Linked DNA regions of Daphnia pulex. The main gene of each other region encodes a partner of the protein of the gene in region 2 in a complex. Links are inferred from orthologs where the notes say so. Each region holds a gene or a part of one and is shown on either strand. Other genes may lie near its edges.

Region 1 (7,528 bases), on a different chromosome or scaffold from region 2:
ATCTACTTGTTGAAGATTGATTAAACGAAGGATAACGTTGAAACAGTCCTGATTGTAGCCAGAAAATCTACTCATTTGACTCAGCAAATAATCAACAATTTCCGAGTGACCGTGAACCGCTGCAGTGTACAAGACTTCCATTAAGCTTCTGTCATGAATAGCAATTTCCTTAGATTTGCATTCACCTAATGAAATAAGAAGAATAATTAAAGAAGAAAAGTGACGGAGTTTTTTTCAAGATGAAATACTTAAGGCAGAAGTGACATCTTGTAAGTGTCCATGTTTTGCGTAGCCACAGAGTAAAGCACGGTAAGTTTCGCCATCAGGTTCAAGACCAGCTTGGGACATGACTTTAATAACACCCTTTGCACTTTCTAGATCTCTGTGTCATTTTCACAAAGTTAATTTTAGTCTATATTTATTAATTGTAATTTTTTAAAATGTACAATCTGTTGTAAATATGTTTACCCAGTGTTTGCATGGCCCATAACAAGTGAATTAAATACTTGTTCACCAATAGGGAGATCTTTACTTTTCATTATTTCCAAAATTTGTGATGCACCATCAATATCTCCTTTTTGACAATATGCTGACAACAGTCTCTGATAAGTCACCTAGAAAATAAAAAAATTAGGATTACAAAAGCAATAGTAATTTTGATTGAGGTAAAATTACTCTATTAGGTTGAATTTCCTTCCCTTCCAAAAGGTGGATAAACTTCATGGGATCAAATGAATGCTCATTCTCTAAATATACTCTGAGCAAAGCATTATAGTGGCTAATGTCAAGTGGAACACCAAATCCCTCAAACATTTTCCATACTTCTTCAACTAATTTTGTTCTTGAAATAGGTGGTTCTTCAGGCACAAGATTTCCACAACACCGTATGAGCAGCAAGCTCTGAGTAGTTGAAGCAGTTTCTGGATAAACAAACATAAATCAAGCACTAAACATTTTGTCAGTTTTAAAGGTGCTGAAACAAGATAATACTTTGTTTTTTAATCTTTTGAATGATATCAAGAATATCATCTTTTGTGATGCGACCAGATTTTTTTGCATCCAACTCAGCTTTCTCAATGGCCTTGTCTACACTATCATTTATTGTGGAAATCGGAGGTTGCTGAACAGTATTATCATTTAAGTTCTTTAATGGTAGCTGGGCAGCAGAAAAGGATCTAGAAATAAAATACAATTTAGCGGTATTTAACATTATCGAGTCACGTGGGTACCGGTGTTTTACGGACACGATAATAAGTTGAAAAACAACAAACCTCTGAATATTAGTTTCCCATTCTCCTCTACGTGCACCAAGCAGTAATTCATTATTACTCCTTCCACCATTATTTAAATCAAAACTTCTTGTTAAATTAGAGAATAACCGAAAAAACTTTCCCGAACGTAACATTGAAGCCATTTTTCAGTTTTCCACTCTTCGGAGGGCGTCCCTAAACTGCGAAAGCGAAACGCGAAACGCGAAACGCCTAAAATGCGGAAAAGCTGTGCGAAACGGACCAAAATTTTGGGACCGTTTCGCGGGACCAAATGCCGGAGGGCATACTAAAGAGCGAAACATCTTGCGAAACAAAAAGTTTTCCTATTCTCCACAGAGGCACAGAGGTCCAAATTGACGGAAATTGCCGCCATTTTTCATTGTCTGCTATGATGAGGCATTAAAGGAGGAAGGGGGGCAATCAAATTCGATTTCTTCGCCACTACCCCTGTATGTTTTGATGCGCATTTTACGATTATTAAACTAATGAAAGACATAGAGCAGCACGTTATGGTGATATTTTTAAATAATAAAATATTAGGTAATGGCCCAGGGATTACATCGGATTACATTAAATAATTTAAATCAACCAGTAGGTACGTGCACAAAGAAAGAATCGGCCATAACAGTATGAGTGCCTTATATCAAGCTAAAAGTCAAAGCTACCATGTTCCAAATCAAGCTAAAATTTAATCAGCTAAAACTTTCCTTAAAATTAAGAATGTTAATCTGATTGATACTGATACAGTATGGAAACGAGAAGTTCCATTAATTTTTTTATACCAATCTTCTAATTAAAACACCTATTACATATTGCATTCAAGGTATTTCGTATTCATGGTCAACACACAAATAGACCAGCCATAAGGTGCGCGAAACTCGAAAATTTGAAACTCTTAACAATTTGTTTGTTGACGGCGTCCATTGTCGTCTGCTACCAAGACGTTTACACTGCGACGTTTCGCACACACCGATTTCGCAGTTTAGTACGGACCCAAAGACTAAAATGCGAAACAGGGTCTCAACTTTTGGGTCCGTTTCGCACAGCTGTTTCGCATTTTAGGCGTTTCGCGTTTCGCGTTTCGCTTTCGCAGTTTAGGGACGCCCCTCTTCGGAGTAAGAGAGCACACACTCGAAGATTCAGAACTGCGGGCTAGTACTAAACTTTGGGAAAATTGTTGCGGTATTTTTTTAGATCAGAGGGTGATTCTAAACAACCTTTCAAAATACAGCTGACGGAAATGAATGGAATTGGAATGCAATTTAAAAAAATACTAGCTGGCTAGCTATAATATTGAAGATGTCAAATATAGATTAGAATTTATTTATTCTTCTGATATTTTACTATTGAATTTTATTCTTAATACATCACAGTTTATAACTTCATCATGAAAATCACCAGAAGTCTGCTGGGCAACATTTTCGTCAGAGGGCACATCTACATTCGTTAATCAAGCACAATGGAGAAACGAACCGTGAGTTTTAAATTCATTAGGATCGAAAATTGTATTGGTAAATGAATTGGAAATCGTACTTTAGATAATTTTCAAGCAAAAAAGATGGCGAATATTACAACAAACACAAGGACAACCCCAAAGACTTTTAGCATCAGCCACCTATTAGAAGAGACGGAACGAAAGTAACGCAAGAGTTCGTCATGAGCGGCTTCCACATTAAGTTGGGCATCGTCGACATTCGAGTCAATCCTACACGAAGAAAAATATTTCCATAAATTCTTTGTTATAACATATTCTAAAATAATTAATATTATTACCGCTGAACCATTTCTTCTTGTTCGCGAACCATGAGAGCCAGTTGCTGGAAAATTCCGCCCAACTCCACGATAGTGGATTCTATACTTTGGACTGCGTCAGAACGACTTTGCAGGTAAGATTCTGTTTCGTCGGCAAACACTTGCTGCTGAATTTGATTCCTGTTGGTTCTGTTGTCAGCGGCACCCATGTCGATAGCTACTGCTTCTCCTCCATGGGCTTGATAGGCAGCATCACGGAGTAGAACAGATCCTTTAGAACCATTTTGAGAGGATCCAAACGGTCCTCCTGTCAAGGCTGCAGCCGGTAAATCAGAAACGACTGGGACGGAGCCAGAAAACTGTTCTCGACGGCTTCTCTGGGCTTTAAGATTCTAAAATATTTTCAAAACATTCATTTTACTGAATATCCTAGATAATAAAATCTAGTAGTTATTTTTTAAACTAGGAAAGGCGTGTACCTCAGTGCGGACTTCAAGGACTTGTTTGAATTCAGAAGACATATTGGCTAGCTTCGACTGAAGAGCTACAACGACATTTGCTGAATGGGCCTTGGTATTTTGTTGTTGATTCTGTTGCTTTTTCATGAATCCTTGCAGATGAGCAATCTGTTTGTTCAGATTTGTGATATCTTCACGGATGATGTAAGTCAGTTCTTGGATCTCTTGAGGACGATCATCAAATAGCGTTCGTTTTTTCGCCACTGCAAGCATAAATGTGAAACCATGAAATGATTGGTTGAACAGTAGAAATTAAAAACAAAGCTAATTACATAGAGTTAGTTTTTCCAGTTTTGCATATGTGTTGCTCAAATCCTTACTAATAACTCTGTACAGAAAAAAATTTGAATATTTTCAATAGTTGCAAATATTTTCTTAAAAGTCGACAACTTACTTTGCCACTTTCATGAATTCAGAGTACTGTTGATGTTGATCTGTATTCTTAGATGGATGTGATTGACTCGGCCTCCCAACTACTCCGTTAACTGGCCTACTCTGGAAGCTTCTGACTGCAGAGAGAAACTCTGCAGTCCGATCACGTGAAGAAGCATTGGTGGAAGACAGAACTGATGAACTCGAATTAGATGCTAGGGCCATCATGTCAGCGCTGTTGGTTTTTGCTTGAACATCTACAAATTTATCTGTTGAATAATTTGGTGCAACAAATGCACCTATTTCACCCTGCGGAACAATGAAAAAGGATGGCTGCTGTTGAGGACTTTCTCCCGACCACAGTAAAACGGATGAAGAGCCTTTCAGGACTTGGTTTTGCAGTTGGGTTTCAGCAAGCGGCTGATGCTCCGATTCAGAGCCTTGCCGGCGTCTTCGAGTAATCATCCGTCAAAAATTTATCTCTCGAAAAATTCATCCGTTTTCGTCTTTGAAATCCAAATAATCGGGAACGCCAGATATTTTGCGACAAGAAACTATACCGAATGCCACGTCATATTAAGGGTTGTCTGCAGAGTGTGTGCAGACGAAAAAATACCAAACATTAGCCGTAATTCCCAACGTTGCCAACGTTAATTATCTACTGTATAAAGTTCAATATTTATCATTTTATTTTAACCTTTATCCAGCTTTATCAATTACTATTATTAATTACTATGTATAGACTTTATCTTTCTACAATGTTGGTTTGCTTTAAATGTCGCAAATTCCTCCTAAGAGAAGTATGACTTACGTACTAGGTTCTCCATCGTTCCCGCGTCATACCAATCAAAATTATGTTTTCATCTCAATTTATTTTTTTTTATTTAGGAAAAGCCGTTTTCATTGCTAGCGAGGGAAGACCAAAACAATATTATAATGCACACTTAGAAAAGTGTACTCATGTGTAATTCTACTGTTGAACACAGAAGTTCCCAAACATTTTTTTTTACATATAAATTTGTAAAGCATTTCTGTTAATTTTATTTTATTTCCTTTCCAAAAATTTTTAACAACCGTCTCAAGATTTACGCTTGATTGCCAAAGCTTACGTAAATCTTCAAATCCCTATAAAACACAAGCAAATAGTATTTGGTTGTACGGAAATAAAATCGTAAATGAAATAATATTGATAACAAACGATTTCTGCATATTATATTTACTAAATATCACTGCCAATTAAATAAGAATAGCAAATTGAGTCGTATTACTCAGAAAGAGACGGCCTGCTCATATTCGAAACAACGATGGAATGTTTAACTGTGGGCCTATAGATATGTAAAGATTGAAGAAACAACAAAGAAAATGATGGCCGGAATTGAATCATTTAAACTTTCTTGGTCGTGGCTGTGCGCTTAACCGTAGTGGACGCGCGCTTAGCAGTTGTAGGTGCGCGCTTGACAGTAGTGGTCCTAGGTCTAGGTGTTGTAGATGCGCGCTTGGCAGTTGTGGGTGCAGGTCCACGCCTAACAGTAGTGGTTCTCGGTTTAGCTGTTGTTCCTGCCCGCTTGACAGTAGTTGTTCTCGGTTTAGCTGTTGTTCCTGCGCGCTTAACCGTTGTCGATGAACGCTTAACAGTCGTAGCAGCACCAGCCATGGGCTTAGCCGTCGTCGATACCTGTTTAACAGTTTTGGGCGTTGTTTTTGAAGCACTCTGCTGGGAATTAGCCAGCGAAATGATGGCTACCACAATAAAAATCTTCACCTATTGAAATCAAACGCATTTTCATTAAATATTTATCAAAGAGTATACACAGTCATAATTTGTTATTGGTAAAATCACTTTCGCCGTGCTTTTGGCCGCTTGGTAGCTTAGAGGCAAGGCTTTAAATACGAATTTTTAAAAATCATTCAGGAAATAGAATACATGAAATACTATTTCAATAAATCGCTGCACTACATCCCAAATGAATTCCATTTAAATTGATTCTACGGCCTATGTCTAAATATAATACAGGTGTAACAGATACAAAGTAAATGTAACAGTGATCATACCAATAAGTACTTCATTGTGTTGAATTTTTCTTCTAGCTGCCGATGAAAAGGAGTTGTTTTCTCGAACGAAGATTACTGGTTACTTGATCAGGAATTACCGAGTCACGCATTAATATAGCCGCGGATGCCCATTTTTTTTTTTTTTTTTGCACTTCCTTCTTCACTTCTAACATTTTTATGTTGTATTGGCGGATAGTTTCAGTCCTTCTTGTTCAGAAAGGATATTTCCTTCGGTGGTCCGAACCACGTAGGAGGATCATCTATCTTTGCCATAAGAATTGTTCTTGTACTGCAATGCTGCGTGACTATTCATTCGTTTTCTAGCGGACAAGCTTTTCCGGTTTAACAACTCCGCGGCTGTCAACATTTGGTAACAAGACAATGAAGAATCAAAAATGCAAAAGCAAAAAAAAAAAAAAGCAAATAAAAAAAACATGAATGTTCAAATTCCAGTTTTTTTCTCAAAGAAAATTAGCATTTTCAAATCAGTTTCAAGCAATCTTCAGTCAGTTTTTAACTTTTTATAATTTTTTTTCTGAATTTCATTCGATCGCTATTGGTTCTACTTTGTTCTAAAAATATTCCCCGTACATTTGGCCAAAGGTAATTGTAAAATTACTCACCAAGAATCAATTTAAGAAATTCCCCCTAATCCACACACTCTGAGGAGTCAAGAACCGCTCGTATCTTGTCATTTAATACATTTTCCATTGAAATTTGAAGCAGCAGTTGATGTGTTTTTTTTAAGACAAATCATTTTTATTTTTATGACATCACCTTTTATTTATTTTATTTTTGACCTTTTCTTTTCTTTTGAACAGATGAGTTGGCCCAAGTTTGAGTAGGATGGATGGATTCTTCTTGTCATGCAAATCAAGATTTTTCGTTCATTCACCTGCGCAAACGTGCGTGCTTGATTTTAGAAAATATGCATTGCTTACATTAAAAAGCGCAGCAGTATCCAAAACTAGTTTGGCAAACCAGCTTGTTCATTCTTGACCGTGAAATCAGGAAGACGTTGTATTGTATCAAAGCCAAAAATTCTCGACATGTTGATGTATACGATACGGTGACATTTCAAATGCATACGAAAAAAAAAAACATAATTGGTCATTCAACTCTCCTCAAAGCACAAATAACGCAAACATACGCTCAAACCGGATTGAATGATTAACTCATTTGTAAGTCAAAGCTATCGGTTGAGGACTTGGAGGTCACCACGTAAACAACTACATGGAAGTTTATATTTGAGCACGTAAGAGTACGCTCACGCATAAACTCCTCCTTGTCCATCGCCCACTACCATGCCCAGAGGGGCAGAGGCCCAGGGTCAAGAACAAAACAAATGGAAGCTTCAGAGGAAGAATATCAAACAAAGTTCTTTGCCAGTTTCATCTGACGTACTAATGATAACAACCAAAAATCTTTTTCAAGTATGACTAAACTGAGATCACCAATAACTATTTTAGATTCAACAGCTTGGTTTCCTGAAGATAGAAATTTACCGGTAATTTGGCCTTCATTTTATTTTTCATGGCACGATAAATAAATATTTGCTTTTAC
Region 2 (7,465 bases):
TTAAGCAAGTGGCTCCTAACTTGATCTGGTCGAAATGTCCAAGCATGGTCAACAAGATAGATACTAACAAAATAAAATTACATTAAAATTCTGTTATATACATGATACAGACATTTACACGAAGAACATTACTGCTTTGGATCTGCTGCAACAACACCTCCTGAACATGTAACTAGAACTTTCCATTTGTTGAAAGCATTACTCACAACGTTATCATCTTCATCAATTTGTGCTAAGCTAAAGCACTCCCCAGCATCAAAAATCTAAAAATTAAAAAGGAATTGAATTAATTATCATAACCAAATTTGTGTAAATTCTTCAGGAAGTTGTCAGAAACTTACGCTATTCTTTAGCTTCCAATACAAGGTCTCCCAATAAATTTCAGGAACACCAGAGGACTTTAACCTTAAGACACTTGTATGTGATACATGAACATAAATAATAATAGTAATGATTTTACTGTGCTTGATGGAGAGCTATAAAACTTTTCAGTCCTTCCAAGCCATCTGCAAGTTCCAAAGAGGACATTTCCCTTCAAAGTTTAAATTCAATTAAAAACACATTTATTAGTAAGGATATTTTCGATAGCCATGTCATATACCTTTAATGATTAACCACTTTACGTATTTCAGATAATACGAAACACTTTTCAGTTGATTCGCAATTTCGCATATGTCAAAAACAACTTGAATTATTTCTTTCCACGTTGAGAAAGCAGACTGTCGATCGTCTGCTAGGCAGACACCGTTGTCACTTAATGCGTCGAGCAAAAATAAAAAATGCAATTCCAATCCAAAATTCCAACTCCAACAAACCCTAAAAAAGAAAAAAGAAAACTATCTCTCGATAGAATTATATTTATTTTGTCATTTTGTTTTCAAAATTGAAAAAAAAAAACAGAAAAATTTATTGTAAAAGAAATATGACGCACGCGCATATTTTGTAACACCTGCACATGGTTTGTGTCTTGTCTGTTTTGGTCTGGTCGTGGTTTTCAAGTTTTATACATTTCCCAATTCGCATAATTTAAAAAATGGAAAGCAAGACAGGTATCCTTAAATGATTATTATTTTATCCTGACACAAAAATTGTATCAATTTTCTTCTTCCCATTACTTCTAAAATTTTCAGCGTCGATTTCGGGATCAAAAAAGATTTCACTAAAACCCAAAAATGTGAGATCTTCAGCTTATGTTAAACGATTAAAGGTTGCACTAACCAAACAGAAGGTAAATTCTAATTCTGCTCACCAAAGAACACCACTTTCAGCTCCTCAAAGAAAAACTAAAGAGAGAGCATCGATTGCTAGTGATGCAAGACAAAGATTGGAATCTGCACGGTTCAGGTATTTTTTGTTGTTGTTGACAATATTCCAGCCTATCATAACATTTAATTTCAGGTATCTGAATGAAGAGCTGTATACCAAAAGTAGTAGTGAAGCATGGGAACTTTTCCAAGAAGACCCCCAATCATTTGATATATACCACAAGGGGTTTAAGAACCAGGTTTTGAAATGGCCAGTCAACCCATTGGATATCATCATCACTGATCTTATGAAAGGGTAAAATAAAACAAGCCATGTGCTAAAAAATTGCTTTAATTTAACAAATGAAAATTTTTTTTTTAGTCCTAGAAACTGGGTGATAGCTGATTTTGGTTGTGGTGAAGCTCAGATAGCAAACACCATTCCTAATAAAGTTCACTCTTTTGACCTTGTAGCAGCAAATGACAAAGTTACTGCTTGTGACATGGCTTCTGTTCCTTTGGCAACCAAAGCTGTTGATGTGGTATTTCAGCATTATTTATGCATTATAAATTTTGATCAAACAACAGATATTGCTTGTTCAGGTGGTCTTCTGCTTATCTCTCATGGGTTCCAACATACATGACTTTTTAAAGGAAGCTAATAGAGTCCTTAAAATTGGGTAAATGCTACATACAGATTTTAAAAAATAATAATCTTTATTGATGTAATTTTTAAATTACAGTGGTACTTTGTGTGTAGCTGAAGTTGAAAGCAGATGTAGCAATATTAATGATTTCTTGAAAACAATTGAACGTTTTGGATTCCAACTCAAAGAAAATAACGTTCAAAAATACTTTTTTCTCGCAAAGTTTAGCAAGATTCAAAACATGAGTCCCAAAGCAACTATGCCAAGAATATATTTGAAACCTTGTCTGTACAAAAAACGATGAATAGAAAAGTACACATAAATGTTGAACATCATAACAAAGAAACCGACTCATTATATGTTACGAATGTACAGAAACGTATTTGGTTGAAATAGAATGTTTGTTTTAAAAACTGAAAGAAAAATTAGATCACGCGCAGAATTTGTGCATCAACTATTTTGAATGCATGAATGCCAATTCAATCCTCCACATGCTATGCTAACGACAAAATACACAATAACCTACGGAAAAATAGATATTTTCAATTAGATTTCATTTAAAATATTATTCCGAATTTTAGAATGTAGTTCAGGTCGATAAATGGTAAAAAAAAAAAAATTACGAATGAAATAAAGATAGTTATTTAAACTGTAAAACAATTATAACATACCAAAATCACGGCAGCAGTAATTGCTGTTATTTTTATGTTTTTCCAGAACAAGGAATTAGCCAAATTTCGACTTGATTTCCGGAAAGTAACAGCCTAAAAACAATTTAAAATAACTTACTTGGTAAACCAAAGTAAAATTTAAAAATATCTAAAATATACATACTGACGCGCTGAGGCTTTCGGTTTTATTAACCAGTAATTCTAATCTTTCGCCACGTGCCGCTAAGGAATCTAATAATGAGCAAAATTAAATTAAATGGTATTATGTTACTACTGCTGGAGGTTGCAAATTCTTGCTGGCTCGTATTTACACTTTACCTATATTTTTCACCATTACATCTTTCAAGTCGTCCAATTCTCCTTGAACTTGAGAAACGGTATCGATATCTCGAGATTCAGAAAAGTGTTTCTGGTTTTAAAAAAAAAATCTCAGTAATGTCTGAAATAATTGAGAAGAATTTCACGACTTACCATTAGCCCTGCCAAAATTTTCGAAAACTCCGTGTTCATAGCATATGGTAGAGCAGAGTATGCATGGGCTCCAAAAGTATTTACAAATTTCTTTTTAACTTCATTCAAAAATAAAAATGCTCTTGAACGTTCAAATTCCTAAAATAAAGGTTTCTATTTATATATCATCTTCTACAATTGCAGACAATAAAAAAAAGATTTACATCATCTGAGATGCAAAGATAAATTATTCTGTCTTGCAAAATATAGTGGAACAAAAATGATCCATGAGAGTAGGTCATTTTTGAATCATCAAGTCCAATTTGAGCTAGAACTTGCTCTGTGATCTCAGAAAAGTTTCCAGTACAATTATTGGCAAATCTAGCCAAAACAGTGTTTCCTCTACTAACAACACTATATAACAGCGGCATTTTCCTTCTAAAAAATTAACATATGAGATTATGTAATAAAGACTAAATATTTTTTATGGGTCAACTAATCTCATACCAACAAAACTTTCTCGACGATTCAGACGATCTTCAATCCCATCAATAACTTGACGAACGTGTATAAAAAACTGCAGAGAAACTCACGATGGATTACAGAACTTATGAAGGAGCAGATATTATGACACTCAAAAGACGTTGCTATAGTTTTGGATAGTTGTAGGACGAATATAATTAATTTTTGTAAGTATTAAGGATTAAACAACCTATCTTAAATTATCAAATGACAATCCACTCCAGTCAATGACTCAATGTTGACTATTGTCGGAACCACGTTATAGAGTCTATGGTTTGCTCACTCACTAGAGCAGAGCAATAGATACCTGGTCGGTTCTCGGCCGTGTTGGCTTCCCTATCCCGGTTTCAGGGTAAACGTGGTCCGATTTGGAAAAATTGATGAGCGCCTCTAGTGAGTGTGTCAGGTACTACGTGAAGCCAGCCAATCAGGAAGGGTCTATGAAAAACTCATTGACCAATCACAGCTTACTTTTCTACAAGAAGTGAACAAAATAAAAAGGTAGAAGTATCCAACTGTCAAACCTCTAGGTCTTTTCTAAGTGTCCCAACATTCTTACATTTTATTGTTTGGTTGTGTAAATTGTTTATTCTTTGTAAGTGTCCAAACATTCTTACATTTTATTGTTTGGTTGTGTAAATTGTTTATTGTTCCGTTGACATAATACACTACTTCTTGTTTTGAAAATGTACACTTTTCACATTATAATTTTCATTTGGTAGTCGATCCATCGAAATGCAAAAAATCGTTTGTTTAATTTGATCAAAATACCATGTCCAATTCTTTGGTACCATTGATGAAGTTACTAGTGACTGAAATGTCACAAAATTAGACTTGAAATTAGTAGAGCTTGCTTCCATAGAAGGTGATGTAACTGTCGAATCATCAATGACAACAGCAACATTTTCGTTCATTACATCAGGAAGTGGATCAAAAATTGCTTCTTCAGCAGCCTGGTGAGTGTCCATTGATTCTTGAATAGTAGAGGTAGCTTCCATAGAAGGTGATGCAACTGTCGTATCTTCCATGACAACAGCAAGATTTTCCTTGATTGAATCTGGAAGTGGATCAAAAATTGCTTCTTCAGCAGCCTGGGGAATGTTGATTGATTCTTTAATAATTTCCATGGAGGGTGCTATCAGATAAAATTTAAAGCAATTGCTCTTATAAATAAAATGTAACGAGAACTATTATCAATACCTGTACTGTCAAATTTTTTTCTCTTAGACGTAGTAGGTATTTTGTCTACTTTTGGTCGTTTCCTTACTGATGCATTGCTAGCATTTGTTTCCACTACAATACATATTTAAGAATTGCGTTATTTGATATTAAACAAAATAAACATATTTAAAAATACCATTAAGGTTATTTCTCCATTTGAAACCATCAACATTTTGCATTGCTTGTCGACTAGGTGTATCTAAAATGAAAATGGTTCAGTTTCTGTGCTTTACAGATTATACAGGAAATGTAATATCAATACCATTTATCAGAAAATGTTTGGGAATTGCTCCAGCATTACGATTCCTACGTTTGAAAGGATGGAACACGTTCAAAATTTAAATCCCTGATTTGAAGTCACTTTCGTCAAAATGACGGGAGCAAATACGTGAGGTGCTCGTCAAATAACTACATGGAATTAGTTCTCGCCATTTAGATAATGAAGTTTTAGGAATTGCAAACAGGGTAACCTCGTTTTCTTTTTGATTTCCTTTGAAATATGTTGATTTACAACCAGGAACAGCACACCTGCCAACCATTTTTACAGAAATTATGGTTAGGCTTCATTCACGTAATACACGATAATGGCCGCCGTATTCACATATTACACAAAAATGGCCGCCGAAAGTATTATTTGAAAGTCAACGTCTTATCACTAGATGGCGCTGTTTCATTTTTACCACTTCACAACTTCTGACAAGCTCCGCCCTAAAATGTCTGAAAATCGGGGATACGTTTACCCTAAAACCGGGATAGGGAAGCCAACACGGCCGAGAACCGACCAGGTATCTATTGCTCTGACTAGAGTCACTACAGAAAACCCAAAGAGCTCGGCAGTCGGCACCCCAGCGGCCAAACCATAGCAACTTTCAAACAGCGCCTCTCCTCTAAAGTTTTCTCTACTCTAGTCTACTCTATTAAAACTTTATTGAACTTGCTTTTCAAAACCTTTGGGCCTTCTAGAATTATGGAAAAGATGGAGGGAAAAATATATATTTTTAAACTGATAATTAATCCTAGCACACGTTGCTTATTGGCTTTAATACCGGCTTACCCTGTTCCACTTAATCCTAACCCGCCTAACCTATGAGCCCTCCTCCCCAAAAAATCCCAATATTTTGGCTCCTCCCATAAATTTACAAATTTTAAATCTCTCATAACGGAGGCCAAGATATTTGAAAAAATATTGGCATACAATAATAAACAACACTATTAACTTAAGTACCGGAAAGTTTTTAGCTACACCTTTCAATATTAGAGTAAAGGGAAATGGGGGCTTAAAATGTCCCGCTTAATCCCACCCTCCCCTACTGAGTTGAAATGAAAGAATATTGGAATCCTGCCGAAAATTATAACTTAAGAAAAGTATTGATCGTCTAAAACTTTTTTTTTTTTCGATGTTTGCATTGCGCAAGTCGATGCGCATGGCTGATAGCCAAGATGTTTGTAACATTGCGCGATCCCACTGATACATTTACTGAGTGAAGGTCTAACTTTCGAGTGTCTTGAGCCAACTTATCAGCTCCTCTTAATTAACCGAATCGTATTTGGTAAGATCTGGATTTTCTCAATTTTATCAAAACAATTCATGTGCAATAAATTCAAATTCAATGGAAAAATCAAGAAAAAAAATCAAGAAGAACGAGAGGTCATAGATACGAGGAACAGGAAGCTCTTATTAATTGGAAAATATTGAGTGTCGACTTCTTAAATTAAAAATTGGTTCCAATACTTCGAGAGGCTCACCGCTCAAATTTGCGTAATTTTTGTGTAATTTGTTTAGTTTGCTCAAATTACGGGCGTGCGTCTAGATAGACTTAAAATTTGAGTTTTTTTGGCAAGGTGTACGAAGATTTTTTTTTTTTTTGTGGTGAAACCCCTCGAAAGTCTTCACTTTTATTTACTTAAGGCAAATAAAAACCTACAGCAGATTGCCGAAAATTTTTGTACATAACAGATAACACTAACATTCGGATATCTCTTCCACTTCCAAAATTAAAACATCAAATTTTTCGATTGTTTGTTCAGAAAATCATGCTTAGTGAAGCAGAAACTACACCAACCTTGGATGAGCCAAATCTACCGGAATTTTGCGGAGCAACGTTATCTTTAAACAATGCTTCAGGCACTATTTCAAACCAAAAAATCGTAAAGCAAAACCTTTTTTCAAACAACGAAGCAGATCAAATGAAAGAAAGAAAGAAAATAGCTGAACTCCAACCCTGCGGTCCTTCATCAAACTGCGGTACAATTCTATAAGCTTTTTTAAAAATATTATGATGGGCTGACTTCTGACAAAGCTATTGTTTTACTATACCGTAGAAAATGTTCCTTTATCTCCAACTGTTCTCAGCGCTGAAGCTCGTGGTGGTGACGGTCAAATCATCTCACAAGGCTACTTCAGTTCAAGAAATTACATGTTCGCGATCGAAAATTGCAAGAGAATCTTGACTCGAGGAGAACCTGAGAACCATGGGGTTTTCGTAGGAAGTTGGTTGCTAACTATGTAAGACTTTTAACTAAATGTTGTCAAGTATTTTCACTAGCGCTCAAAAATAATTGCAATATTCCAGTACGCGACGAAACACACACGACATTGATTTTGTTTCTTTTTTCGTACCGTAGCTTATTTGAAAAAACCGCGCTTCTTTCGTTTTGAAAAAAAACTTCACTTTCTGATCTGTTTTGTTTCATCTTTTGATGTTTGTTT
Region 3 (6,616 bases), about 2.4 Mb from region 2:
TTGTTCGATAGACCATTGGGTGCGAGATCCATCGATACGAGATGAAGTCTAACAGGATTGAGCCTGATCGCAATCGAGTAGATAGGATCAAAGAAGCCGAATTCCAGTTGAACGATCAAGACACCATTACCTATCCATTCATGTAATGGGTTTACAGTTCACAGAACACAATAGAGTAAAAAAGAAAAAAAGAACAGGAGATCGTGCAAATAACCAAGGAAAATTCGTTGAACTAAAACAACTTTTTCTTCTGTTTGGTAATGTTGAGCTTCTATAGCTCTAGTTCATGTAGGATATCTGTAAATATTACTAGGTGACTTGTGAGGATAAATAGAGCACTGAGTAATAAAGTCATTAGCCGCTCGAAAATCCCGAGAGAGTCAGCGAGAGAAGAAACACGGAGAGAACGTCGCCTTGGTGAACGCAGCCCAATCATGGCAGGCACTCATTAGCCATCCATGGCAACCTCATAAAATCTTAGGATTAACAATAAGATTTCGGGAACTATAGATCGAATGGCGAGGACCTAAAGGCTTAAAGAGACACGTCTGATTGAGGTATCATCGAGATTCATCCTTAAGATTAGACAAGGGTTGTCGACGTGATTCCATCTTTTCACTGGCGCCTTGCAAATAGCTCGCCCTCTCCAAAAGAGACAGACACGACATGGCATCATATCCGGGAACTGCTTTCTTGGCCCTGACACAGGCGCACAACCAAGATGCAATCCCCCCCCCCCCCTAAACCTCGGCAACCGCTTCCTACGCCTTAAATATTTGAGCAAGCTGAAAGAATATTGAACTTAAGCCACAGTTTTTACGAATTCAACTAGTTCCCGACTGCGGAACAGATTGAAAAAATAAAGTTCCAATGGGATAGTCTCCGGGTCGAAATCCTCACACAAATTCGGGCGATTAGAGTTCAATGATAAGTGTACGGGTTATTCAGTCACGAAAAGAGTGTCGAAACGAAATTGCCGAATCGACAGATTTGTCGATACGGCATGCACAGTCACGCGTGCTAAATGGTGATGGAGTGTGCCACAACCGAGGAGGATGCCAAGTTACAGAAAGAAAAAAGGAAATGAAACATTAAAAGTTTCCGGCTAGATCTAGCAATCCCGTCATTGCGACTCTGGCACGCACACGTAAACACGGGCAAGTATACAAGCGATTTTTTTTCCCCATTGCAAACACACACACATACACAAAAACGGAAATAAACAAATACCCCCATCCCCTCGCAAACCAACTCTTATGGAAGATTGAATAAATATACTTTGATGCCATTCATTTTTGATGAGATGAGCCTGTTTTCAACCGATTGTTATCCGAAGGATGATTTTAGTTATTTTTTTTTCCCCTGCCTTTTTTTAAATTAATTTTTACTTTATTTTAAAGTAAAGGTGGGGCTTCTCAGACGGGTTTATATCTAGCGTCCAACCTAGGAGACGCCGGCGATAGAAGCCTCCAAAAGAAGCAGTGAAATGAAATGAAACTCGACACGCGATATCTTACGTTGTAGTGAGCAAACGAAAAAAAAGGAGAATACTGTAGGTACGGATGAAAGTTAACATGACGAGAATAGCATTAACTAATAAATACCATGAAAAATAAGGGAAAGGGTTCGAAGTAGCCATCTAGGAATTAGACACAGGACACGCAGCATCGATTTCTTACAACTGAATACACAAAGTCCACAAATTTCTATTTCCCATTATCATTGTTGAATGTTTGTGCTTTTGGAATTGTCTGAATGGGGCTTGCATGTTTCAAAGTAAATCAATATTGTGTGACTAAAATCCCACTAACAGTGGGCCTAGCATCCTAGCAATATCAAGAGTTTTCTGGCTGGATGAAATATTACTTTGATGTATCACCTAAAGCAACAATCTATTGCTTGAGTTGAGAATAACATTTCGCAACAATCCTTCTGGGCTGTAGCTAGAGGCACAAGTCATTCAGCTTCGAAGTTTAGCTCAATACAACTTTAGAATTTAGTACAGGTTGAAAACTTGGATGCAGCTTAGCTTATTAGTTTGAAAATATGAATGCTATATTTACAGCCAAGATATTAATAAAATCTTTTTTAACATTTGAATGACGGGACACTTCAGTGAGTCTGTGACTTCAATATTGATTTACACTTTAGCTTAATGGTATTTATACACCCTAATGGAAAATTCTTATTTGTCTAATTCCATAGTCCAAAATACAAATATTTGAAACATATACCCTTTTAATTACAGTAAATTTGAATTCAGACTTGACAGTGGTGCTCAGCATCCAGCTGTTGCTACGTGGATATATGGTACGAATCGATTTTTCATTTAAGACTATACAGAATCAATAAATGCACAACTTACCCCATTTTAACTGTCGATGTCGAAGCACGAACAACTTAGAAAAATCTCAGATTTCGTTGGCAAACGCAAAAACTTTAAATACACGTATAGCACGCCATGACACAGGAAGAGCTTCTGTCAAATGGAACTGAAAGCCAGAGGTTGGGTTCGTAACTCCGTCTGCGTACGAAGGCCGCTAGGAAATCCTTTGCGCACGCAAGGGGAAAAAAATACTGGTCGCTATGCGCATGATTATATTTTTGTATCGGCTTTTACACAAATTCAAGGCACTAACACTATTAGTTACATTTTTGATGAGGTATGTTAAGAATTTGAGGACAATAATTTCAAGAAAAAAATTTATAATAAACTAAACCTGTCAAAATGCATATCTCCAACAGAATGATGACAATTAGGACAAGCTTATTAGTCATAGCAACACGAGACATTGACTTAAGGATTCTTCTACTTCTTCCCAGCTCTGCATCCGTTTCAGTCAATCTATCTCTTGTACGAACAAGCACTTCTCTTTGTTGACTTAATTCTTGAATAACTCCAGTGCCAATCTCTTCACTTTCTAAAGCAACCTGAGTAGTTCTGTAGAGGCTCTGTGATGTTCTTTCCAGAACTGCAGTTCCTTGGCGAACAGTTGTTTGAAGAGCATTATCAATGCCCCGGTTTTGGCTAAATGCAGCAGTGGATTGGTTTTCCAACAGTTTTCCTCTTGATGAGGCCAGAGACATTTCTGATTGCTTGGAAGAATTGATCAATAGAGCAAGTTTGGAACAGGTGTCCTGATGTCTTCGTACTCTGAAGTTGGATGATAAAAAAAACATTAGTTGAAATTTTACTACATGTATTGTTTGCTGTGTAAACTTAAGACATTCACATTTTTACCTGCCAATCATGTCCATCCTAAAAGAGCCAGGAGCTGCTCTAGCTTCAGCTTCCATTTCAAATATTGCTTGTTTAGCTTCATCTAGTCCTCTTTCGACATCGGCAATAACTTGCTTTTTTTCTTCGCCAAAACATTGTTCTAGCTTACCGGAACACTTTCTTTGCAGAATTTCGAACAAAACTTGTACATCTTCATCCAGAGTTTCAAATTTCTCTGAGCTCATTTCTGTTTCTTGTAGCACAATTCTGAACCTATTTGAGCACTACATACGATACCTTGCTATCAGGACGAAGACAAGGAATGTATTGTAGACTTGACGTATAAAACACCATCTGACAAAACATTGAAGACAGCGCCACAAACGGCGAGAATTAGCATTTCCATGACATTTACATTTAATAGCTAATTATTAAGATAAATTAAACACATTTCAGCCTGCAGAAGGTTTATTCAGATGTCACAGAAAAAACGTCATACAGGCACAGGTTCAATGATGTCACTCATTCCTTCTTATTTTTCTTCCCCTTTGCTTTCTTGGCTTTCGATCCCTTATCAGCAGCTGATTCGGGAACAGAAGCTTCTTCTAATGGGATAGCTTCAACGGGAGCAGCAAGAACCTTTTCCAACGGCTTCACTTCCGGGACAGCAATCGGTGTTGGGGCAGGAACGACTGGTGGCGATTTTCCTTTTACAGGAGTAGCGACTGGTGTTACCACCTTAACTACAGGTTCAGGGATGGTAACGATTGGCGGAGATGGTTCCTTAGCTGGAGCTAGGGCAGTCTTCACCTCAACAACGGACGCGGGTGTTACATCCATCGGTTCTACTTGCAAATCCTTTGCAGCCGTCTTGGATTTCTTGCTTTTCTTTGTTTCTGGTGGTGTTGGCTTAGGGGTTTCAACAGGAGGAGGTTGAGTTGGTTTGACATCTTGGACCGGTGCTTGAACGGGCGCTTCTTCTTTCGGCTTTTCAACAGGTAAATTTGGTACGGGTACTACTGACTGTAGAATGGATATACAAATTAGAACTTGGACTATTTTCCAAATCAGATTCTCACTACGATGGACAACTCACCAAAAACATCTGTTGATTAGCTCAATAAACCATGCTGTGTGCGCTCACTCGCAGGCTAGGCAGCTACCTTCTTGGTAGCACTCGCCTGTACATGTTAAACAATGTGGCATGCATTAAGTTACGTTCACATGCGGTAATACAATTTTAACAATTCAAACAGAAATCAAACGAAAAACTATCTAAGACATACAAACATTCACAGAAAACAAAATTACCTCGCGCTTCTTCTCGAGCAAAGCAGTCTTGCTCTTCTTCCGGGCCTCAGCAACAGCAGCGGCAGACTTCTTAATCACGGCGGAGTACGGGTTCAACTTCATCAATGCTCTCATGTTGGTAAGAGGATTGCGCTTAACAGATGCACGACGGATCATCTTCCTGTAATTTAAATTGTATCGATTAGTCATCTTTGCACCAGACAGTATCACTTGAATGATAAACTGCGTTCAGATTAATTTGCTAATCACAAAGATTCATAACCCAATGCTCTAAATGTGGTTTTCATCATTAATTAATCAATAATAAAGATTAAAAAGAAAGCTTGCCTTGGTCGTCTGATAACCTTCTGGATTTCATCAGACTTCAACAAACGAGACAAATCTGTTCCGGTCATGATGGGCTGAGGCAAGTTGTAGTTGCTCTTCAGCTTAGACTTCTGACGCCAAGTACCGTAGAGGGCGTTCAAGCGTTGGAAAGCAGACTCGGTCCAGATGCAGAAACGGCCAACATGACCACCAGGAGCAAGCTTCATGAGGTTCAGTTTGTTTACTGAAATCATAGAAACTCCGGGGATGTTACGGAAAGCCTTGGTCAAACCCTGATCTCTGCCATAGATGACCAGTGGACCCAATTTGCTGGTACGGCGACGGTTGCGCATCTTACCCTTACCTGCGCGGAAACGCCTGGTCTTGTAAACCTGTAAGAAATCAGATTAATTAGACGGTGTTCACACATAAAATCATTCATGACTCAGATTTTGTTCAGAGCTCTAAGGTGAAATCATTTACTCATAAACACAGACCAAGAAGCAACTCATCATTTTCCCGTGATAATTATACATAAATATCTAGAAACAAACCTTCTGGACATCAGTCCATGCGCGAAGACGGCGCAACAACACGACGGCCTGTTTGGTTTTTTTGTATTCTTGAACCTTGTCCGACACAACCAAAGGCATCTCCGGGACATCATTGATCAAGTGACCTGAATGTAAAAACATTTTAGTTCTAATTCAATATGACCTTATTTACTACTATCATTGTATGGATCAGGGACTCATGGTATGACTTCATGCTTGTCAGAAACACAGGAAACACATATTCATCATGCTAGTATGGAACCGTGCAATGATGATCTTGGCTCATATTTACCTTTGGACATCACCAAAGACGGAATACCCGAAGCAGCGACGGCCGAGCACAATGCAAAACGTTTCTGGTTAACGTTGATCTTGCGATGCCAACGGCGCCAGATCTTGGTGGGGGCAAACATACGTCCACCACGACACATGTTACCATAGGCACCCTGACCGGAGCGATGGGTACCACCTCCTCGGACACGGGGAATACGAGCCACAGCACGACCAGTACCCCATGATTCAGCACTTGTCTGATGACCTGTAATAGGAAAGAAGAAGATTAACAATCACACCATTACATGTGTGTATGAAGTTTGTCCGGTTGCCCAACCCCTCACTTTAAGAAAACAAAGCGAGAAAGGCCTCAGGGACTCGCTTTAGTGTTGCACACTGCACAAGAAGAGTCTGACGTACAATTACTCCTACATTTCAATGCTGTGTGCCATATAATTGGCATACAAGTTACCTGCTTTCTCGCTGACACAATAAGGGTGACGACGATTCATTGACATTTGTTGTTGAACAAAGCTGACAATGTCTGGCCTAATGGGAGCCCTGAAGATTGCAGGGAGCTGGATGCTGGTTCCAGAGGCCTCAGCCTTCTCATTGTAAACGGTAATCAACGGCCTCGCGACCACCTTACTCTGTAAAACAAAATGGATAAACAAATTAGATTTAAGATTTTCAAGAGACAACACTTGAATTTACACAAACTTTGAACTAGATGTACCAATTAACCAAAACATAACAATAAACCAAGAACGACGTTGAATTAACATAGAAAAACAGCAAGAGCCCATTTGACACGAGGACGAAACCACGCTGTGGGTAACATTTTACTCCCAAACTTTCGCCATAGATTAACAAGAAAATGGCTTAGAAAAATATACGCACGCAAGAATTTTCTTAAAACACGTTTCTCCCGTTAACCTTTTTACTTACTATT
Region 4 (7,914 bases), on a different chromosome or scaffold from region 2:
ACAAACCTTCGTGTTGCCTTGATTGTTGCAAGTTTGCAACTGAGGAGGAAACAGAAAAACAAAAGAGAAGCGAAGCGTTTAGAAAGCGGGTGGATCTGGTCTCCGGGGTCAAAAATGTACCCCCACCTCTTCTTGGTTGCTCAACTTGCCAACAATTTGAGCCATACTTTTTAATGTTAGGCAACTGCATTTCGACTAATCCTTTGCTTCCGCCAATAAATTCTGTCTCTTACTCTTACTTCTTTCCTCATCATTTCACTCGCCCCTCTTTGCCAACTGAGTCCACACTGATAGACATTCTTCAGTTTTTTTAAAGCGTCATTTTCACATTTTTGGGAAGTCGATTAAGTTTAATTGCATGTAACGGGCATAAAAATTAGGGATTTATCGGTGTTATTACATTCTTTGAGGTTGATGGTGTGAATATTGTTTGATAGTTTTCTTCTTTGATGCCATAAAGATGTTGAATTATGACTAGACTGTTGCAATGTCAGGCCATACCCGAGTTCAGAAATTAATAATTTTTTTATTAATTAACGAAATTAATGCTGTTTGTGTTTTTCCCAAACCCAAAAGAATACGGGATCAATAAAACTTATCAATTTCCAGATAATGGTTCAAATCTTGAATGTTGAAAAAAAATTATATTCGAAATTACCTTGTAATTTATTTTTTCCTATCGCTTACATGTTATTTGCTTGAAAATAACAAATAATTATTATTTTGTAGACTATTCTGCTGTGCGTTGACGAAAAATTTATTAGATGAAAAAATTTATTTTAAATAATTTCGTAAAATGCTGAATATTTTTGTTTTTATCACGGTGCAATTGGGATACTTTCCGAATCCCATAAAAGTGTACCTTTAATAATGAAAGTAATTTGGACACGCATGGTGTAGTGGTTAGCGCGTCTGGCGAATTGATAGTGACGAAGTGATCACTTGCCTTCACGAACAGTCGAAAGCGTACCATACGGTGTATACAAGCGCATAAGGAGATATGAGGAAATGAGTATTTGCATATGCTCTTTACCCGTCACGTGGCACGTTACAGAGTGACGGCCCCGGATTTAGAAACCCGGTATGACTTAGATCGTGTATGGAACCGTCGTGAAGTAGATTCTCGACGCTGCGAAGGAGCGAAAGCTAGTAGGATTCGTCATCGTCTTACACAATTTTCATCTGATATAAAGTCAGAAATTCATAATTTTTTATTTATTAACAAAATTATTGTTGCTCGTGATTTTCTCCCTAATAACCCCAAAAAATATGGACGTAACAAAATTTATCAATATCCAGATAGCGGTTCAAATCTTGAATATTAAAAAAAAATTATATTCGAAATTTACTTTTTATTTATTATTTCCTATGGTTCATAACTTAATTGTTTGAAAATATAAAATTATTATTATTTTGTTGGTATTCTAGCCTTTTCCTGGATAATAAAATTTAAGTTTCTGCCATTTTGTCGCTGTCGAAACGAATAAAAATGTACAAACACGTGTTGAAGATGTATACTCTGGGTTTTCAATCTCGAAAGAATTTGTTAATTGCTGAGTTACATGACAAATGACGTAATAACTTTTGTATTTAGAATTAACAAAATTTCACCGATTTCAAACTTAACCTTTCATATTCCAAGATATATGAGCAACACTGCAAGAGAGCATTAACAATTGTTGTTTCCTTGATTGCTGATGCTCTATTGATTGAACAGAAAACAAAAAATAAATGAGAAAGAAGTTGGGGGATTATTTTTCGTATTCCTAATTCAGATACATGCCATAGAGGGGGACTGCTAACAGAAGAATTTGTTGATTACATTCAATCTTTTGCCTTGGAAAATTCGATCAAAACTTATTCATTTTGATTGCAAACAAGTTTGTGTTGGGGCCAGTGTGAACGCTGACAATCCTTGCTACAATAGAAGATTGAATTGCAGCGAGCGCAACGCTTTAGATTTTGAGACATTTTCTTGCAGCCAGCACAGCAGTTTTCGGCAACGAAGTATTCAATCACTTTAAACTGTTTGAATCACAGAGATGAGAAGTTATTTATTAACATTAATTTGTTGAAATTTGGATGAATGAAACGCATTATTTTACCTGTCTCTGTCCTGTTCTCTCTGAAATTGCTAGCTTGCAACTGGCCGCGTCCCATGTCATCATGTATGGATACATATACTCTGATGAGGGTATAATGTATATGCTCTTCCAACTCTGAAAATTCATTTAAAAAAGAAATTGCGGGAAAAGAATGTACGTGAGTCGCGTTTGATCCAACTAAGAATTTCTATCAAAAATATTTTACCTTTGTAGACCAAATAATCACTTTCTTGTAATAGTCTGTTGTTGCGAGATAGCGTCCGTCAGGTGAAAGTATTAATTGATGGATCTGATCATGTCCTGTAAGTTTTCGTGTCTGAATTTCATGATCAAATGGATACCAAATTACAACGTTTCCACTTTCTAATCCGCTGAATAAAAGCCAATTAAAAAGCTGTGGTTATTAGAATGTCAATTTAAACTTGCATCTTTTAAAACTTGATTAAAATAATCTAGGCAGTCTAACCATGCAATAAAAGTTTTTGTCGTCATCTCTTCTTTGATGCCAGAATTCCATACCAAATTTCTGCAATTGGAATCGACATCCAACACAAGAATAGGATCTTTACTGCCCAATGACCAAATCTGCAATTAAAATTGTTTAAATATTGACTCATTTAAATTTAAAAACTTAGACAATAATAATTGTCTATCGACTATTAAAATCCAATAAATATAACGTATGTAGTTCTAATACCTTGACTCGAAAGTCTGTTCCACCTGAAGCCAAAAGTTCAAATTCTTTGTTAATGGCGATACTCGATACGAAAGTTCGTGTTTGGCCCTGGTAGTTCATAAGCGAAAAATTGTCCCTGGAATTCATAAGCGAAAAATGGTGAACAGCTTTGTCATGATCACCCAGATCGTGACGGATTTTCTGGACCATTCGGCTTTTCATTTGACTGTTATTCAATTCTATTTCGTGAATTTCAAACGTTCCATCGTCGTAACCAAAGGCGAGTTGATTGTGCGAGTTCCAGGCCAGGGTCTGACAGTTCCATTTTGATTTGATGGTGTGGGTGAGGAGGTTTTCAGCTGCTGAATTGGCAATCATCACCTCGTTTGTGTCCAACTTGAGATACAATTTTAAAACTTAAAATTTCTGGTGAACAATAAATTAATGTGAATGTTTCTCGTGTACACCGACTTTTAATTTGAAATTCTCCCTTCCCGCATTACTTAAACAAACTACTAAGTTAGCACATGAATATTGTTTTTTTTTTTTCACTTACCGCACTGTTATAACTAGCCAACATGTCCCGGTTAAATGGATGCCAAAAAATTAACGGGAAATTCGATCGTCCATTTCTTCGGAATGTTTGTTTGCCACAGCCTGGATAAGACACAATAATGACAGTCCCATTATCGGAGCCAGCAGCTACTTTAGTTCCATTGACCTTTACGCCAAACAGAAAAACAAAAATAGAAACTTAGGATTAACACTGTAACATTTAGCACACGATTTTGATGGGGTGAAACACGGACACAATTATTTGATTCACAGACTTACGTTCCATTGGACGGATAAAATTGTCCTTTCGTATCGGCTGTATACGGGTTCAATCTCCCAATTCTCAAACGGTGTGGAGTGATTAGTTCCCCGAAGGAAAACTAATCCTCCTTGAACTAAGCCGCACGCCAGAACAGGATCGATGGGGTGGAAACTGGAACTTCTCACATCTAGTTTACTCGTAATTGAGAACTCAACTGGTTTGAAAAAACCTGGATGGGACATCAGACATTGATTAAAAACGATGGACAAGTTTATAAATATTTGTCTTACCTTTCCCTGGTGAGTTTACAGCATCTGTCATTTTCTCTCTCCTTAGTGACGAACGGAAGTGTAAAACCACGTTTAGAAGTAGCGAACTAAAATGAACGAAACATTATTTTACAGCGTTAAAGCTGGAATATCCATAGAGTTTAGAATCTTAAAAATTTCACCGATGCGCAGATAGATGAGTAATATTTAAAGAGACTGGCAGCACGATGCCTCGAAGAATGTTGAAACTGAAGTGGCAATTAAAGAAGATGGAACTGGAAAAGTAAAACTGAAAAACAAAAGAGAAACGTTCAAGGGGGTAAGAAGGGGGTGGATTTGAACGGGGTCGTAGGAAAATTTACCTTGACTTTTTCTGTCTGGAATCTTTTTTGTTTTTCAAACTTGTCTCGAGGTTGCTAAAATAGCTGTAATTTTCGATACGCAACTGCATTTTGACTAATCCTTTGACAAAAATCTTTTCTCACTCCCCTTACCTCACACCATACGACTTTCCTCTCCACACCCACTATATTTTTTTTACCCACTGAAATAACCCCAAAAGAAAGTAAACTTGAAAAACTCGTGTCTTTTCATTTTCCCGACAACTTAATTGATTTCAATTATCTTTCAACAACCAATGATACATTATAACAACTTTCTCAGAGTCCATTGATAGGCATCTCTTTTGCCGATATCACGGTATTTTGTTTATCTAATCCGTTCACTCACATCACGAGCGTGATTGCTTTTCAATTCTAGCTGTCTAAAACTCTTTCAACTTGGCCACATTTGAGACAATCTCTTTGGCTTTCGTTTGGAATTTTGAAAAATGTTTGGATGGTCGTGGGAAAATGCAATTTGGGTCTTCAGTTTTCAGCTAGCTTTATTGCGTGTCCGGACCGTCTTGATGGAGACCTTGAACAGGGACGTGATATCCATCATGATCGGTGTTTCCAACAACAAATATTTTGATTTGAATAAGTAATGTATATTCTTTATAATTTATTTGTTTAACTTACCGTTTGACAATGATTTTTGAGCAAAAATCTGCCAACACTCAACAGCCGTTCTATTTTTCAAACGTCCTCGTCGTCAGTTTGTTGTGGAACTTAGTCCGCCATCTACCAGTCGTTTGCCAAGTTCGTTGCAATGTATTTTTTTCTTTGGCGCCATTCCCATGAACGACGAGCTATTCGTCTTCGAGAGCACACCATTACTGCCATTACTTCACAAGTTCACTGAACAGTGAACAATGTTCGAAAGTGTGCATCCATCGTCTTCATTTGTGTTGAGCAGCGTGATATTACTTTAAAGATTGTACTGTTCATTGTGATTCCTTTGCAAAATCTGTGACCAACATTTTCGGTGGTGAATTGAATCTGCACCAGGCTGGAAGTGACACACATGCTGATGAGGTAAACATCCCTTTGTCTGCAGTATTTGTACGAAAAATATGGCGCCTGACTTATTCTAGAATTGTAACGTGTTGGGTACTTGATGAAAGGTAACTATTTGTGAACTGTTTCACTAAATGACAATATCAACTATGGCACGAAAGGATTGTAGGAGGGTTTTGCACCATGCAGTGCCAGTCAGTTTATATCTTTTTTCGACAGACATCAGAATATGCATCCCATGAGGTTTCTTTTCATGGTGAGTCTACATTGCTTCCTCGTGAAAGTTTATTTTATTATTTTTACGTTGTTGGTGGATATTACTTTTGTTGTTTGTTTTATTTGAGCAGGTTTAGTTTGAGAGTTTTGGGCTTGGGCACCGGTGGTGAAACCCTGATGGTGGTAAAAGGTGTCATGATCTGTTCCCAGTTCTAAACACCTTGCGAGAAATTTAAGACATCCAGTCTTTCACTCGTTTTACCTTCAAATTTACCTTGGTGGACCAGATAACCAATTTTCCTTCATAGCCGGTCGATGCCAGAAAGCGTCTGTTTGGCGAAAATAAGATTTTATGCAAATCGTGGGAATGTCAATCGAAAAACAAACTTGGTTGTATTTCCTTTTCCGTTGGCGACCAAACAAAAATTGATCCGTTATCTAACCCTCTGAAAAAAGATCAGAAAAAGGCGATTGAGCTCTTACGCTTAATTAAATAATCGATTTGGGACACTGGGATATTAGATGAATGAAATCTGACCCGACTAAAAAAGGTTTTTCCTTCGCTCTTTGCACGATTACGCTGGATGGGAATTGGACTCCAAATTTATTCGCAACAAGAAGAACTGGATTCTATCATGCGTATGGGATATTGGGATCCTCTCTTTCCAATTACCAATTCTGCGTTCAATTATTTGAAAGTGAAGGAGTTAAACATTCAATTCTAAATAACCATTTAAATTCTGGGACACACCTTGATCCAAATATCGTCTGAACTGGTGACCAACAGTTTTAATTCTTCGTTCCAGACAATACTCGATACATTATATCCAAAATCTCCTTCTGACAAACTGTATGGGTCTTACGAGTGAGAGTCGGGCACTCACCAAACGTTTCTTGAATAGTTTGCTAGTTGACGTATCGTTTAGTTCTATTTCGTTTAATATCAGCCGTTTCCTAATCATAGCTACAAATGAGCGAATCCAATTCAACCCAGACTTAAATGGGTATTCGGTTTATTATGTTAATCTCTCAAGGAAGTTTTGAAACATGCTTATTAAACTATTATTTTATTTTGACAGAACTTCATCCAGGCGTCATCACCGGAATGACGAAATTCTTGGCATTCGTCACTCCAGTCGTTGGATGGATGGATTACCTTCTAGACCCCAATACTTAACCGGATTCGCTTTTAATGTAAGTCACCCTCACCCACATTTAAACATCTATTTTCTTGTTGTGTTGCAACTATAGAGAATCTTTTCGTTGAAAAGAAAGAGTATTCGAAAAGTTTTCGAATACTGTTTTTGAAGTAATTGCGTTTCTTAATGACAGGCATTTTAAAACAGGAAAAGCTTTTCCTATCTTTGTTTGAAATCTCTTTTCCTTGTTCTTTTGGCTATTGGGCCGGCTGAACACGATAAAGTTATTTACGGAATTTCATTTTGACTCTTCCGTTGAAGTCCTTTTTGTCAGGTTTTTTCAGAACTATTTTAGTTTTCCCGATAAACTTCTTTTTGAGGAGTTCTTTCTTTTATTCGTTCACAATATTACTGCTTTTTTTTGCAATTTGTTGGCAAGATGAAATCAGTTGAGTTTTTTTTTAGAGAGAACCATTGAAGAATCTTTCCGCTTCTCCAAATATGTTTTCGTCCATTTTGAATCACAAAATTTATTGTTGTGTGATTAGCAATGAAGGTAGAAATAGAGATAGGGTAGGTCCGTTTTTCTCTCTCTTTCACTCGTCCGTTTGATCGAAGTTTGCTCTTTTGAATTTTTTTCCCGTATTTTTGGATTCCTTGTTCGATTACCACATGCTCTGAATTGACGTCCGCTATTCCAGACTCTTTTCTGATTTTTAATTTGATTTGAATTGAATAACGAATATGACACTGGTTGTAGCGCACTGGGCGCTAATCCTCGTTTGTTGATCAGTCTGGTTCTCTTGCTCTTGTTTGAGACCGGAGTGCTGTTTGTTGAAATTCGGCCATAACTTGTTTGGGAATTGCCAAATTCTTGATTGTTGCTGAGTTTCCGTCACTTGATCAGGCCCTGCGTCTCCTTGAGCACGATGGCAGATCGGATTCTAGATTTTATGACGAATGCGATTGCATTGTTATACTGACAAGGCTGCCAACGGTTCGGTCGATTTTACGGTTCAGTTCCATATTTTACAGTCATGCACTTCCCTCTCTCAAGTTACTCTCAGCAGGTTGAAATCAGACGTAGCATCCAACCTCGTAGCATACGTAGCATCTTCTTATCTGTCATTCTAATACCAATCTTCGCGAAAGTATTGTTGAAAAAAGGCGGGCTCGTTTTCAAAATTTGAACTCCAACATTTTTGTTATTCCAGGATACACTTTTAAAGATATTTATTGTTATGAGCACATTTTACTTCATTAATCATGCAATCGTTCCTTTCATGAATTCTATT

The links.
Region 1: vesicle-associated membrane protein 7-like (region 2) and syntaxin-5-like share a complex: the UniProt entries of both Homo sapiens proteins name them as parts of the SNARE complex. The link is inferred for Daphnia pulex from reciprocal best matches to the Homo sapiens genes VAMP7 and STX5.
Region 3: vesicle-associated membrane protein 7-like (region 2) and vesicle transport through interaction with t-SNAREs homolog 1B-like share a complex: the UniProt entries of both Homo sapiens proteins name them as parts of the SNARE complex. The link is inferred for Daphnia pulex from reciprocal best matches to the Homo sapiens genes VAMP7 and VTI1B.
Region 4: vesicle-associated membrane protein 7-like (region 2) and syntaxin-18-like share a complex: the UniProt entries of both Homo sapiens proteins name them as parts of the SNARE complex. The link is inferred for Daphnia pulex from reciprocal best matches to the Homo sapiens genes VAMP7 and STX18.

What each region holds. Positions count from the first base shown.
Region 1 is NC_060017.1:4,339,810-4,347,337, reverse strand, and holds syntaxin-5-like, read right to left. Parts: upstream 4,533-7,528; 5' UTR 4,379-4,532; coding exon 3,936-4,378; intron 3,870-3,935; coding exon 3,814-3,869; intron 3,745-3,813; coding exon 3,503-3,744; intron 3,416-3,502; coding exon 3,045-3,415; intron 2,977-3,044; coding exon 2,817-2,976; 3' UTR 2,579-2,816; downstream 1-2,578. Other genes in the region: leucine-rich PPR motif-containing protein, mitochondrial-like, read right to left, coding at 1-185, 249-382, 469-614, 676-920, 991-1,175, 1,272-1,414; proteoglycan 4-like, read right to left, coding at 5,298-5,675, 5,966-5,980. UniProt on the Homo sapiens protein: Mediates endoplasmic reticulum to Golgi transport.
Region 2 is NC_060018.1:6,535,116-6,542,580, reverse strand, and holds vesicle-associated membrane protein 7-like, read right to left. Parts: upstream 3,812-7,465; 5' UTR 3,725-3,811; intron 3,590-3,724; 5' UTR 3,520-3,589; intron 3,451-3,519; 5' UTR 3,444-3,450; coding exon 3,237-3,443; intron 3,172-3,236; coding exon 3,034-3,171; intron 2,972-3,033; coding exon 2,881-2,971; intron 2,794-2,880; coding exon 2,726-2,793; intron 2,656-2,725; coding exon 2,563-2,655; intron 2,414-2,562; coding exon 2,342-2,413; 3' UTR 2,196-2,341; downstream 1-2,195. Other genes in the region: tubulin--tyrosine ligase-like protein 12, read right to left, coding at 1-63, 133-263, 342-405, 461-528; ribosomal RNA-processing protein 8-like, read left to right, coding at 1,034-1,049, 1,131-1,560, 1,627-1,786, 1,848-1,924, 1,988-2,195; uncharacterized protein LOC124188813, read right to left, coding at 4,203-4,669, 4,735-4,827, 4,892-4,934; tumor protein p63-regulated gene 1-like protein, read left to right, coding at 6,790-7,000, 7,078-7,261. UniProt on the Homo sapiens protein: Involved in the targeting and/or fusion of transport vesicles to their target membrane during transport of proteins from the early endosome to the lysosome. Required for heterotypic fusion of late endosomes with lysosomes and homotypic lysosomal fusion.
Region 3 is NC_060018.1:4,116,258-4,122,873, reverse strand, and holds vesicle transport through interaction with t-SNAREs homolog 1B-like, read right to left. Parts: upstream 3,580-6,616; 5' UTR 3,466-3,579; coding exon 3,242-3,465; intron 3,155-3,241; coding exon 2,692-3,154; 3' UTR 2,582-2,691; downstream 1-2,581. Other genes in the region: homer protein homolog 2-like, read right to left, coding at 2,366-2,370; uncharacterized protein LOC124189006, read right to left, coding at 3,743-4,243, 4,532-4,691, 4,859-5,229, 5,392-5,516, 5,684-5,929, 6,137-6,314. UniProt on the Homo sapiens protein: V-SNARE that mediates vesicle transport pathways through interactions with t-SNAREs on the target membrane. These interactions are proposed to mediate aspects of the specificity of vesicle trafficking and to promote fusion of the lipid bilayers.
Region 4 is NC_060027.1:1,469,638-1,477,551, forward strand, and holds the start of syntaxin-18-like, read right to left. Parts: upstream 4,920-7,914; 5' UTR 4,887-4,919; intron 4,177-4,886; exon of another isoform or gene 4,050-4,176; intron 3,975-4,049; exon of another isoform or gene 3,920-3,974; coding exon of another isoform or gene 3,889-3,919; intron 3,828-3,888; coding exon of another isoform or gene 3,616-3,827; intron 3,503-3,615; coding exon of another isoform or gene 3,338-3,502; intron 3,178-3,337; coding exon of another isoform or gene 2,803-3,177; intron 2,691-2,802; coding exon of another isoform or gene 2,572-2,690; intron 2,477-2,571; coding exon of another isoform or gene 2,311-2,476; intron 2,220-2,310; coding exon of another isoform or gene 2,106-2,219; intron 2,026-2,105; coding exon of another isoform or gene 1,858-2,025; exon of another isoform or gene 1,571-1,857; intron 62-1,570; exon of another isoform or gene 1-61. Other genes in the region: F-box-like/WD repeat-containing protein TBL1X, read right to left, coding at 1,858-2,025, 2,106-2,219, 2,311-2,476, 2,572-2,690, 2,803-3,177, 3,338-3,502, 3,616-3,827, 3,889-3,919. UniProt on the Homo sapiens protein: Syntaxin that may be involved in targeting and fusion of Golgi-derived retrograde transport vesicles with the ER.